Linked DNA regions of Daphnia pulex. The protein of the gene in region 1 purifies or fractionates together with the protein of each later gene. This does not show direct contact. Links are inferred from orthologs where the notes say so. Each region holds a gene or a part of one and is shown on either strand. Other genes may lie near its edges.

Evidence for each region.
Region 2: the proteins of prefoldin subunit 2-like (region 1) and prefoldin subunit 4-like purify together in Homo sapiens (affinity purification with mass spectrometry; 6 studies listed by BioGRID and IntAct, counting the BioPlex papers as one, with this or other methods). This does not show direct contact. The link is inferred for Daphnia pulex from reciprocal best matches to the Homo sapiens genes PFDN2 and PFDN4.

What each region holds. Positions count from the first base shown.
Region 1 is NC_060024.1:9,270,010-9,275,628, forward strand, and holds prefoldin subunit 2-like, read right to left. Parts: upstream 3,123-5,619; 5' UTR 3,036-3,122; coding exon 2,878-3,035; intron 2,779-2,877; coding exon 2,655-2,778; intron 2,592-2,654; coding exon 2,409-2,591; 3' UTR 2,356-2,408; downstream 1-2,355. Other genes in the region: uncharacterized protein LOC124199325, read left to right, coding at 61-325, 386-901; aurora kinase-like, read left to right, coding at 3,593-3,660, 3,792-3,977, 4,059-4,193, 4,256-4,414, 4,492-4,665, 4,752-4,904, 4,982-5,021; uncharacterized protein LOC124200621, read right to left, coding at 5,269-5,278. UniProt on the Homo sapiens protein: Binds specifically to cytosolic chaperonin (c-CPN) and transfers target proteins to it. Binds to nascent polypeptide chain and promotes folding in an environment in which there are many competing pathways for nonnative proteins.
Region 2 is NC_060022.1:3,650,784-3,656,619, forward strand, and holds prefoldin subunit 4-like, read left to right. Parts: upstream 1-2,420; 5' UTR 2,421-2,534; coding exon 2,535-2,573; intron 2,574-2,655; coding exon 2,656-2,760; intron 2,761-2,925; coding exon 2,926-3,075; intron 3,076-3,126; coding exon 3,127-3,279; downstream 3,280-5,836. Other genes in the region: bromodomain-containing protein 4-like, read left to right, coding at 5,369-5,494, 5,557-5,742. UniProt on the Homo sapiens protein: Binds specifically to cytosolic chaperonin (c-CPN) and transfers target proteins to it. Binds to nascent polypeptide chain and promotes folding in an environment in which there are many competing pathways for nonnative proteins.

The DNA of each region.
Region 1 (5,619 bases):
ATAAATTGATTATGCAAACTTTTTAAAAAATTGTATTGGTTCTTACGATATTTTGCACAGATTACCTAATATAAGCGTAAATGGCGGTATCACGCGCTATGGTGTGCCATTTACGATAGATTCATACGGCGTCGAAAGATCTTTCGAACCTTTCAAACTGCAACCTAGATTATACCTGAATGTCACTTATGATATTTATGAAGTAGACCCGACAGTGCCTCCCACCGAGAGGGCAGAGATAATGCTAGAAGATGATATGCTTAACAATTCAAAATTGAAAATTACTTGGGATATCGCTGTGTCAACCAATCCTACCTACAATTCAGTAAGTTTCGCACTACAAATTTAAAATTAACAACAAAAAAAAACTGATCATTGTTTACAGGAGCAATTGGCTGCCTATGCATACTCGATGTCTGAACCTGAATATCTGTACATTGCGTTTAATGACGAAACAAGCGCATTTCGGGATGATTCAAATTACTATACATATTACTACAAGGGATTTTACGGACTTCTCTTGCTGGCGTGTCAAGATTATGACTTCGAACTTTACAGAGGGGTGAATTACACAGTTCCGGCCGAAGTGAATCAATACATTCGCTTCAATCGATTTTTGTCATCAAGTAAAAATTTGGAAATAGCTCAAAAATATGCTAACTCCTCTACGGGACAAGGGACGATATTTGTAATCCAAGGAACTAAACACGCTAATCACATTGCACCATACAGCACTGTCCCAGAAGACGAAGAGTACCTTATTTCCCAAGATGCGCAGTTCTTTGTAACAGATGTTGGAACAATGGTGTATCCTGATGGAAATGAGGCTATTCAAGTTACAATGTCTTTGGTCCCTTACACAACTGACAACAATATTTTTGTTGATTTGTCTAGAAAATAATCAAATTTCAAAAGGCAAACATTATTTCATTTAATCAACAGTTTTTAACATTAAATTGGCATATGTTAACATCTGAAATAAACAGCAGAAACAATATCTATCAAAATAAAATCCTCTTTGCGCTATGTCGTTTAGCAACACAACTTACCTCCTTTTCCAAACAATACTGAAGTGCCGTTAGTTTATACAAAGGTTCAGATTTTGTGGCATAATCTACCGAAACAACTTGTTCACGTACTTGTTTTCTAGTAACCAAGGATATTGATTTGTCCGTAACAACTTCAAATGTGAAGTGCTCAGACCGGCTAAGACCAGTTTCCTCACAAATGTTTCTGTTCTTCAAAATATTATTGCGTACCAATTGGAGGAAATCAAAGGAATAGCGACATGCTCATGCCCAATTCAGCTACGATTGTTTCCCCTCCTCCTATTGCCCTGATAGTTGACTGCTACAAATTCCATCGTTGCTTTTTACAACTTATAGACGGAGATTCACGATTGGCAAGCAACTAGCAAGTAGGGAAAGTAGAAGACCATCAAAATTTGAATAATTCCACAGAATTTGGGAACACGAATTATTTTTTAAAAATTACTTGATATTTTAAACAGTTAAATACGAGACACAAATCAACACACAATTTCTAGTGGATATAATTATCACTTGGATTTAAGTTTAAATTTACTACGAACGTTTTATGAAGATGTGTTTTGAAGTTACAGAAATCATTCTCATCCTTAGTGCTATTCGCAGAGAGGATAGGCTCACTCTAAAAGAAACGATGACTGTAAGAAGTTGTCTTGTTCACTAATTCAGTTTCTTTAAGAAAGTCCCGGTAAAAAAAAAAATAATAATAAAATCCTTGGTTGGCTGGCTTAATCTATTTAGATAGTAAGCCGCGAGCAGACAAAGAAAGAGAGCAAACTTACGATGAGAATTTAACCTGACATCGAGACCAATTCCCACACATCGTCGTCGAATCGTTTTGGTGTATACTGCATAAGTAGACTGTCTAGACCAACTTTTCACCTAGAAAATAAATTAAATATTTTGATCACCATTGTTTACTTATCTGTAAAACAAATTTTACGGAGAACTGCGCCAAAGCAATTTTGTGGGGAACACTTTTGACTTTTCAAATATTACACACAAACTAAACAGTTCGCAGCAGCAAAAATTATTGGTTTAAAATCCGGTGTGATCTCAAATCCATATGATTTTATAGCGTTGTCGCTCTTCGGAGAAACCAGAGATAAACTAAGTTATTGTGCATTCAATAGAAATCTAATAGAATAATTCCTGCTAGTAATTCATAAATACATCAAAAGTTAGAATAGCTAAGCTTCTTAAAAGCTTTCTTGGTAAATCACACAGATTGTTTAGTACTCTAACCTTCCATTAGGATAGTAGAGCAGATGAAAGTATTAGATTCATAAAAATAAGCAAAAGCAAAACATATGTTTTCTGATTTTTCTTCAGCAGCAGAGCATACAAAACAAGGTATATCAGTTAAGGTTTGGTGCCCACCAAAACCCCCTGATTGGCAACTTTATTTTCTCCTTCATTATCAGGAGCTGTAGATGGGAGTTCATTTTGATTTCGTATCCTGATATTATTCTTTTCCTTGAAGTCATTAATTTCTTGTCCCTTGGTGGAAATTTGATTATTGAGAACTTCAATTACTTTAGTCATCTATATAAAAAATAAATTGTAATTAAAATTACAACCAAATAATACAATATGAAAACAAGTTACCTGGTCCCTGTTTGATGTCAGTGCAGGCAGAACTTCTTTGACAGTTCGTTCAACTAGTACTCCACCAACCATGCGAAAGCACTTCCTGTCTTCATCCACATTTTGAAGGGTTTCTATTACTAGTCTGAGTAAGAAAAAAAATATGACATAGTTAATAGTAGGAGTAAATTATCCTCTACACGCTATGGAAGTCTGTTTATAAAGTGAAACCGGTAAAACTTACTTGTGCTCGTTTAGATCCATTTCGAGCTCAGATAATTTACTAGCTAGTTGTCTCTGTTCAGTTCGTAATCTTTGAAATCCTTGGATGACTTCTTCATTCGATTTGCTAACATTTTTCGGAGCATTTTTAGCTTGCTTTTTGCTTCCGTCAGTCGCCATTTTTTACGTATCAAAAGCACTAAGCAGCAGACAAACTTCAGGCTATTCTACTTCCTACCCTCCTAGTTCCTATTTGAGACTAGCGGTAGAATGTAGCGAAGTCGACGATCGACGATTGTCGAAATTGACTTAGGCCTATTTGCAGATTGCAGAGCACCGAGAACAATAATCGTCTTAATGATAATGAAATAATTTAATAATAAATTAGTCTTAGACACGAAGACGAAGTCTATAGAAAATCTGAGAAAAACGACAAACGGAGGAGGCGAAAATATTTCCATAATACCATCATACCGGCAACGCCGGTTGTTCTGCCGTTTGAATATTTTCCCATTTGTCCAAAACCGTCCAGTAGCAGCAGCACCGTAGTAGACCACGGTTTAGGGTTTTAGAGTTTAGAAGTTTAGACATTGGTATACAGGTATATACAATTACAACACATTTTGAAAATTTAGACCAATCTAAACGTTTTTTACGAAAATGTAAGTGAATAAGTAAGTTTGAACTTCGTGTTTTTGTAAATGTTTCATGTTTTGATTTTGAAATTGACAGATAACATGGAAACCAAGCAGCCACTTAAAGAGAACTCTTCAAACCAACCTACTGTTAAGTTGGAAAACTCAAAGTATGTTAGAATTTTTTGTTTTTCAGAATCCAACAAAGTGTTTCTCATTTATCTTCTTGACTTAAATATTTTAATTGTGGCATTAATCTTCCAAATCATGTGTGTTTCTCTGCTTGTTTGTTTCAACCCAGATGGAGTCTTGATAACTTCGAAATTGGCCGTCCTCTTGGTAAAGGGAAGTTTGGAAATGTGTACTTGGCTAGAGAAATCAATACCAAATACATTGTAGCCCTGAAGGTTTTGTTTAAATCTCAACTACAAAAATGTCAGATGGAACACCAGTTGAGACGTGAAATTGAAATCCAGTCACATTTACGGTACATACTAATGAGATCACATGTTTTATGGAAAATTTATATCACTAATGCACATCAACCTTTTCTGCGACTCTACTGTAGACATCCCAATGTTTTACGCATGCACGGATATTTTTATGATGAAACTCGTATTTACCTCATCTTGGAATTCGCCGCAAATGGAGAAATGTACAAGTACCTGAAACGCCAACCCAATGGCCGTTTTTCTGAACCACAGTAAATTTTTTAAAATAACAGAAACATAAGTTCTGTGGAAAATAATTTACCCCTATTTTTAGGACGGCCAATTACATGGCTCAGCTAGCTGATGCATTGATATACTGTCACGCGCGGAAAGTAATCCACCGAGATATTAAGCCAGAAAATCTTTTACTAGGATTTCATGGAGAAATTAAAATAGCCGATTTTGGTTGGTCCGTCCATGCTCCTTCGTCTAGGTAAAGTAAAATATGATTGTTTAGTGTAGAACCAAACAAATCGAAGTTATTTATGTTATATTGTTTTTGTTCAATAGGCGTACAACCATGTGCGGGACATTGGATTATTTAGCCCCCGAAATGGTAGAAGGGCGCTCTCACGACGAACGTGTAGATTTGTGGACTCTTGGTATTCTTTGCTACGAATTCTTAGTGGGATCACCTCCTTTTGAAGAGGAAAAGCAAGATCTCACTTACCGCCGTATTTGCAAGTATTAATTTTATCGCATAATTTGCCAATGTGGTTAAGAGGCATTCTAAGCGTTTACATTTTCCATGCCATAAATTCGTATTGTAGAGTTGACTTGAAATTTCCAGCACATCTCTCTACTGGAGCGAAAGACTTGATTGCTAAATTACTCAAACCACGAGCAGAAGATCGTATCCCTCTACGAAAATTACTTGAACATAGCTGGATTCTACAGCACCTTTCAGACGAAGTTCGATCCAGGTATGATTTTTTTTTTATTTCATTTTAACACTCGTCCTCAAATATATTTGTGACACATTACGTGTGTATTTCATCAGGTTACCGACTTTCCAGATAATGCAACCCAACAAAGCATAAACTTTGATATTTAATGGAACCATACATTTTTAAAGTAAAATTTTCAATTTGTAACTTTGATTCCCGATTGCCTTTATCTCTTCTCTCATTTATGTAATACAATAAATACTTTTCATAAATGCTGCTCGCACGTAAGTTATTAATGGCTAAGTTTATCATTCACATTATTACATCAAATATTATGCAAATTTGTACTAAGTTCGCCAGTCATCCTTTACATCCAATTCTTTCTCTATTCTGTTTCCAGTTACATCATCCTAGTAAATGTTAAAGGATGTAATTTTAATAAGAATTTGAATTATCCACTATAGAAAAAATTCACAATTGAAATTTATTTAATTATTTTAAAATGACATTTATTTTTTAAGCATCTAAAATTAGCTGCTAACGACGAAAGTAAGTTTTATTCATTGAATGAGTTCAAGAAAATCCCTAATTGAAAATTACCCGTCAAGTTAACTACAATGAATAAAAAAACTAGATTTTCAATAGAGCATCAGTCGTGAATCCCTTTCTAACTGGCAGTAATGATTAGATTTGTAATAAATTATGAGTGAGAATCCATTTTATTATAGCACAATAAACTACGCGGTAGGTA
Region 2 (5,836 bases), on another chromosome or scaffold:
GAAAATCTATGCTGCTGCTACTGCTGCTGGTTGAAGAAGAAGAGGAAGCAGAAGAGAGTGGTACCGACTTTGATAAGGCTCAACAAAAGCTTGTTTTGCGCTTTCCCCCCCTCTTCTTTTGATATGTGCGACAGTCGAGCACCAGAGTCTGTTTATTCATCATCAAACCGACGACGAGTGAGTGCGTGAAAATGAGAAGGAAACGACCATCAAGATTACGCCAGTGCCTTTTGTTGATTCGCCCTATTCAAACTTTGGTCTATATGTTTTTTTTTTTTTGCGGATTCAAACCCTCCACACACGGGATACATGTAGCCCTTTCATGGCGAAACAGATTTTTGATTATTATTTATATATGCTTCCTCCAAGTGTTAACATCGCCATCAATCCATCAGTATCACGTATACACACATAATAGTCTTTGGGGTCTATCTGGATTTAGGCTTTCTGATCCGCCCGAAAATTTATCGTGGCATCAGTAATGACGTTCATGCCAATGAGCTCTTGTTCTACTTTGAAGTATTATCGACCCAGTGCCGATTTTCTAGCCAAATGTTTGTTTATTTTTTAAACAAATGTGCTCGATTATTAGCCGTTTCTTTATTAAAATGAAATGTCAAATGCCAGCTATGATCCGATTGAACTGGAATAATATACCAACTCGGGAGGGATTTCGTCAGAGCTCCAGGCCTCGGGATCACTGACCCACGTGAAAGTTGCGCTCTACTTTATTTGAATTTTTTTCTCAAATAGAGTCTAATGTGCTTTCAGACTACGTCAATCAAATTTTTTTTTTTTTTTTTTTAGATTTGGTAGACACTGGCGGGCGCTGGCGGTTATCTGGCTTAAATCGCTGGTTATTAATTAGCAAGCATATACTCTTGTACATTTGCATAATCACAATATCTTCAAGTGTATGTGCGTAATTATATCTTTTCTCTTTTTATTCGGGGATCCTATTAAGTCAGCTTGGAAACTTTAAATCTTCCTCCTGTCAATTCCTTCTTGTCAGACCAGTCTTGTTTTCTCCATTTAGATTTACGCCATAAACAAAAAAAAGGATCTCGCGCGGCTTTCTCCCATTTCACTGCTGGCATATACCAGCCATAAAAAGCCTTTTCTTTATATTTATTCTATTTGAAAAACTTTGATAAAAATAAAGTTATGCATCATTTTCAAAGAGCTTTAAATTACCCAACTTATTACGCATTTGCCAAGTTAAAGTTCATCATTTAAATGAATTCACAGAAAGTAGAAACGTTTTAGAAATGATGTGCGGATCTAATGGCGGCGAAATGAGGTATTAATGTATCAACACGAACCCACAATACGTCCTACTCTTTAACAAGACCATTTATCACGCTTTCTTCTTCTTTGTACGTACTGCGCACTGACGCTAACTAGGTTAAGCAACTCGGTATTCACGGCTGTTTTTACGGATGAGAGGGACGCTCGGGTTGCTTGACCGCATTAAGTAAAGTGCGCTGGTATAACAGGCTACCGCACAACCGAGTGTAAACGACACTTTGATGAGGAAATTACTTGTCAACGCGCAAAACCCACCTCTGCAGCTGTTGTCGATTGTTCGGTGAACATAAAGGTCTATAAAAAAACGACAGAGAAACACGTTGAGATATGTGAATGAAGCGAAACAGGAGGACGGATGCCTTCTGTCTAAAACGTACATTTCAAGTGGCTTTCGTGAATCGTATAGCGTGATGGAATTCGCCAGGAAATATTTAATAATCAAACAGTTGTTGTTCCATAAGTTGATAAAACTCGTCTTCTCAGTTATTGCGGGCTCTGACGCACAAAGGGGAGATTGATATGATTGGTTAAAACATGTGAAACTATTTCGTCTCTATTGCGTTCTGTTTGTTTTGCTATCGATCTGCAGGGCAACTGCATATAATATGGCAAGTTCGCCACAAAGAAAACCGCTTACTTAGACGTGTTCATATTGCTTTTATTGTAAAAAGAAAAGCTCTCAAAAACAAATAGAAGACATCTTCGTTATTTATTACATTTTTTTTTTCAGATTTCCATAATATTACTTTCACGTGCACGACTTTCTTCATGAGCATTGCAACATGTTTTTGCTTGACATCTTTTTCGAAAATCCGAGAACCCATCAGGATTCATTATAATTTTCTAGTAAGTATCGTAATAATAAGATAGAAACCCGAAGAAAATTTCTCTTTAAGCGCGTGAATTTACACAAACACATTTTATGGAGCAAGCTAACAATTATGAAAGCCGTGTAGGCCTTACTTAATAGGGAATATAATAGCCCTTTCACTTTCCCAGTGGTCAATGCACCTGGGATAAAGACGATTTTTCTTGAAGTAATAATGCCGTAGTATTGAAGTAATAAAAACGAAATGTGCCATAAAGAAATTGCTTGTTAAATCCAGTAAAATAAAAATCCTAAAAAGAATAGTAATTTGAATAATGGCAACCAGCATATCATTATCGATTGAAATAATCGATAAATAGGCGTCGTCTGCTACGTAGGGGTTGTCAAGAAAAACATCATGGCCTCAGTAGCAGTTTCTAAAGATTCTCTTGAATCGGTAAGAAAATGATTTGACTTAAGAATTTATAGCTTAACGTGTTGCCAATTTCTAGTAGTTAAAGTAACTGAAATTATTTTAGGACTCTGACATTCACATTACATTGGAAGACCAACAGAAAATCAACCGGTTTGCACGACACAATGCAAAATGGGAGGAGCTCAGGGATGATCTGAAAAATAAAAAGGTGAAATTCTTTCTATTGCATGCTTCTTTTCGTAATGTGTGTGAAGTCTTCAAAATTATTATGTGTCATAAATGTGCTGGCAGAAATATTTTCGCATTCTGCTCATGATTCACGTTGAAACTTACAATTCTGCATTGCTACTCGTTTTCTCTATGCTTTGTTCAGGGAGATCTTCAAAACTTGGAGGATGCTTCAGATGATTTACTCTTGGTTGATGATGAATCAGCTCCAATTCCTTTCGTTGTAGGTGAAGTGTTTGTTCATTTCAACATGGAAGAGGCAAAGGTGATTTTCTTTTTTCCTCTTCTGTCAATTGTGCATCGCTGTTAAAGTACTGCTTATCGCTAATTGTTTGACTTATCACAGGAGAAACTTGAAGAAGCAAAAGACAAAGTGAAAAAAGATATTGAAGCCATCGAAGCTGAATGCACAAACATCAAGACTTTGATGAGCGATCTGAAGACGCAATTGTACGCCAAATTCGGTAATTCTATCAACCTAGAAGCCGAAGAGGAATAAAGAAAACGTCCAAAATGCTTTCTCCACTATAATAATGAAGAACAATACAAAAAAGAAAAAAACAGTCTTTGATAGCACTGACAGAAACAAATTGTCTCTCAAGCCACAAAGAGAAAAGTAAACAACAAAGCTAAAGAAAGTATTTTTAGCTAGTTTCCCTAACACTAAAAATATCTGCGAAGAAAATGTAACGCTTGACTTGCACCTCCGCAACGACGCCTCTGCATCTGGCTACCACTCGGTACCTCTTTAGTTTCGTAGAGGCCATTCACCGGACGGTTTTCCAGCCTTTCTCTCTCAGTCTCGAGCTCCACGACCTCGTAAAATAATCGATTGTTATTGCTTATGTATTCGTCCGTGTTAACCTCATTTGGACACGACCTGCAGAGAGGACTATCGTTGATACTACCCAATAGGTTCAGAAGAATACCAATCGGAAATTGTCACTTGACTGACCCAGTGACTTAGTTTTCTCGGCTGTCCATCACATGGCCGGTTTTTCATCATCCGGATCGTGCACGTTCATAAAGTCCTCCCTTCCCGTTATTGTGCTCATTACATCCGTTCGACGGTGGGTTTGCGAAGCTTGTCACGTCATGACCGTGCCGCCGCTCACTTTTCCCCTGGTCGAGAGGAAAACCCGCATCGTCCCCCCTCCGGCTGCAGATGGTAGACACGAAGTTTTTAAGCAAACAAACAAAAGAAACGAATGAATCTACAGGACAGGACGGAATATTCCTCTGCTTCTAAAAGCAATTGAAGAAAAAAGAATGAGAAGGAAAAACTTGTAACTAGGCCAAGGTTCGTTGGTACACGTTTTTGTTATAAGCTATTTTCAACTTGGGAATCATGAGAAACTTTTAGGGTACCTTCACGTTATTTCAAAAAGAGGGGGGGGGAACGACGATGCGTATGGCACTTTTGCGTTCACTTTCTTTCTTCTAGAGTTAAAAAAAAGAAGAGCCCCCAGATGCCTTTATTGCTTTGTTTTCCGAGCTGCGATGTACACAACAGACAGGAAAAGGTGTGGATACTCTACACCATATCTCTCATCTTTCTGTCATCATCTCCAAGGGTAAGTGAAGTGTTTTTAATTTCAGAGAAATAGCACACCACTTGGCCGATTTATATTTCCATCACACAATCGAGGCTGCTGGGTATTTTTCCAAGAGGGAGTATGATTGGTGTTGTGTAAGTTTCTTGTGTGTCAAAGGACTTGAAAAAAAGAAATAACAAGGTGGCAACGCTTGACACCGATACGTGCTGGCCATGACTTGCCTCCTACATGTACGACGTCCGAGCGGTTGTTGGCTTCAAACAAAAACAAGGACACGTGTTGCCAGTAAAACGAAACTTGTATTTTTGGTTGTTTGTATTTTCTTTTTTTATTTAATAAATTTTTGTTTACAGTTTTATTGTAGAAGGAAAACCCGACAAATAATTGGCAAAGTATCGAATTTGGGGAAATATTCAACGGAATCACCGCATGTTGGAAAAGGTTCGAATGGTACACTGGTCGCGGATCATCAGGTGGTTCGATGAACTCGAGCGAAAAAAACAAAAAGACATCGAGTTGTGTTGCGGAAGAAATGGGAAACGATCGAGGAAAAACGAGCGCATGGCAAAATTGAATACCAGTTCACCTCGGCTATATTTTTTGGAGCGGAATAAAACACCCGTAGTGGCGGGACGTTTTTTTTTTTATCTTTTTGGGGTGGACCAACAAATTGAGAAACTGGACAGTATCCGGCGAAGATGGGTTTTCCATTTTTGAATTTCTACATTCTCACCGCGTATTGGCACTTCTTACACGAGCTACTTCTTTCTCTATTCCACTTTTTAAATTTAATTTTCTTTCCTCTTCTTTTTTTTTTCACCCGGCTCATTTTTAGGGGAAAAGTTAATACTACTCTAGCTCCGCCCCCCTTTCGCCTCCTCCCTTCTCGTCTGAGGCAACCTATTTAAGCTCGGCTGGTTGTTGGCTGCCACTTCACAAACTTCCAGGCAACTGGAGTTTCAAGCCGCTCTTCATTCTTTCTCCCATTTTTCTCTTTTTTCGTTAACAAAGAAACAATTGAACATTTCACAAATGATCGTCTCTACGATCTCCGAGAAGGTGGATAAGTCGGACGTTGAATCCATCTCGTCCGAAACTATCAAAGATGAGTCCGGTTTGAGTTTGTCACGAGCCTATTCCGTCACTTCGGAGCCACCCGTGAGTATTCCACTTCATTATATACCTCGTAACGAATCATTTCTAATTTTATTTTCAAACAGGCGTACAAGAAGCAAACAGCTTCATCGGTCCGCATCGCCCGATTGATCGCAATCACAGTCGTGGCTGTCGCTCTCATCTTGGGCACGGCCATCGTTCTTGCCGCTTATTTGCAAACGAGACACACCAACAACAGTGCAATTCACTCGGCGGCCCCAACAGCAGCAGCCAGCTCGACCGAGACGAACGTGAGTCCTCCTTTCCTAAATATCCCTCTTTTCTCTATCTCGTGTTATCTTCTCTTTGTTCGAACGAGGGCAGGTTGGGCGATGAAAAAAGCAA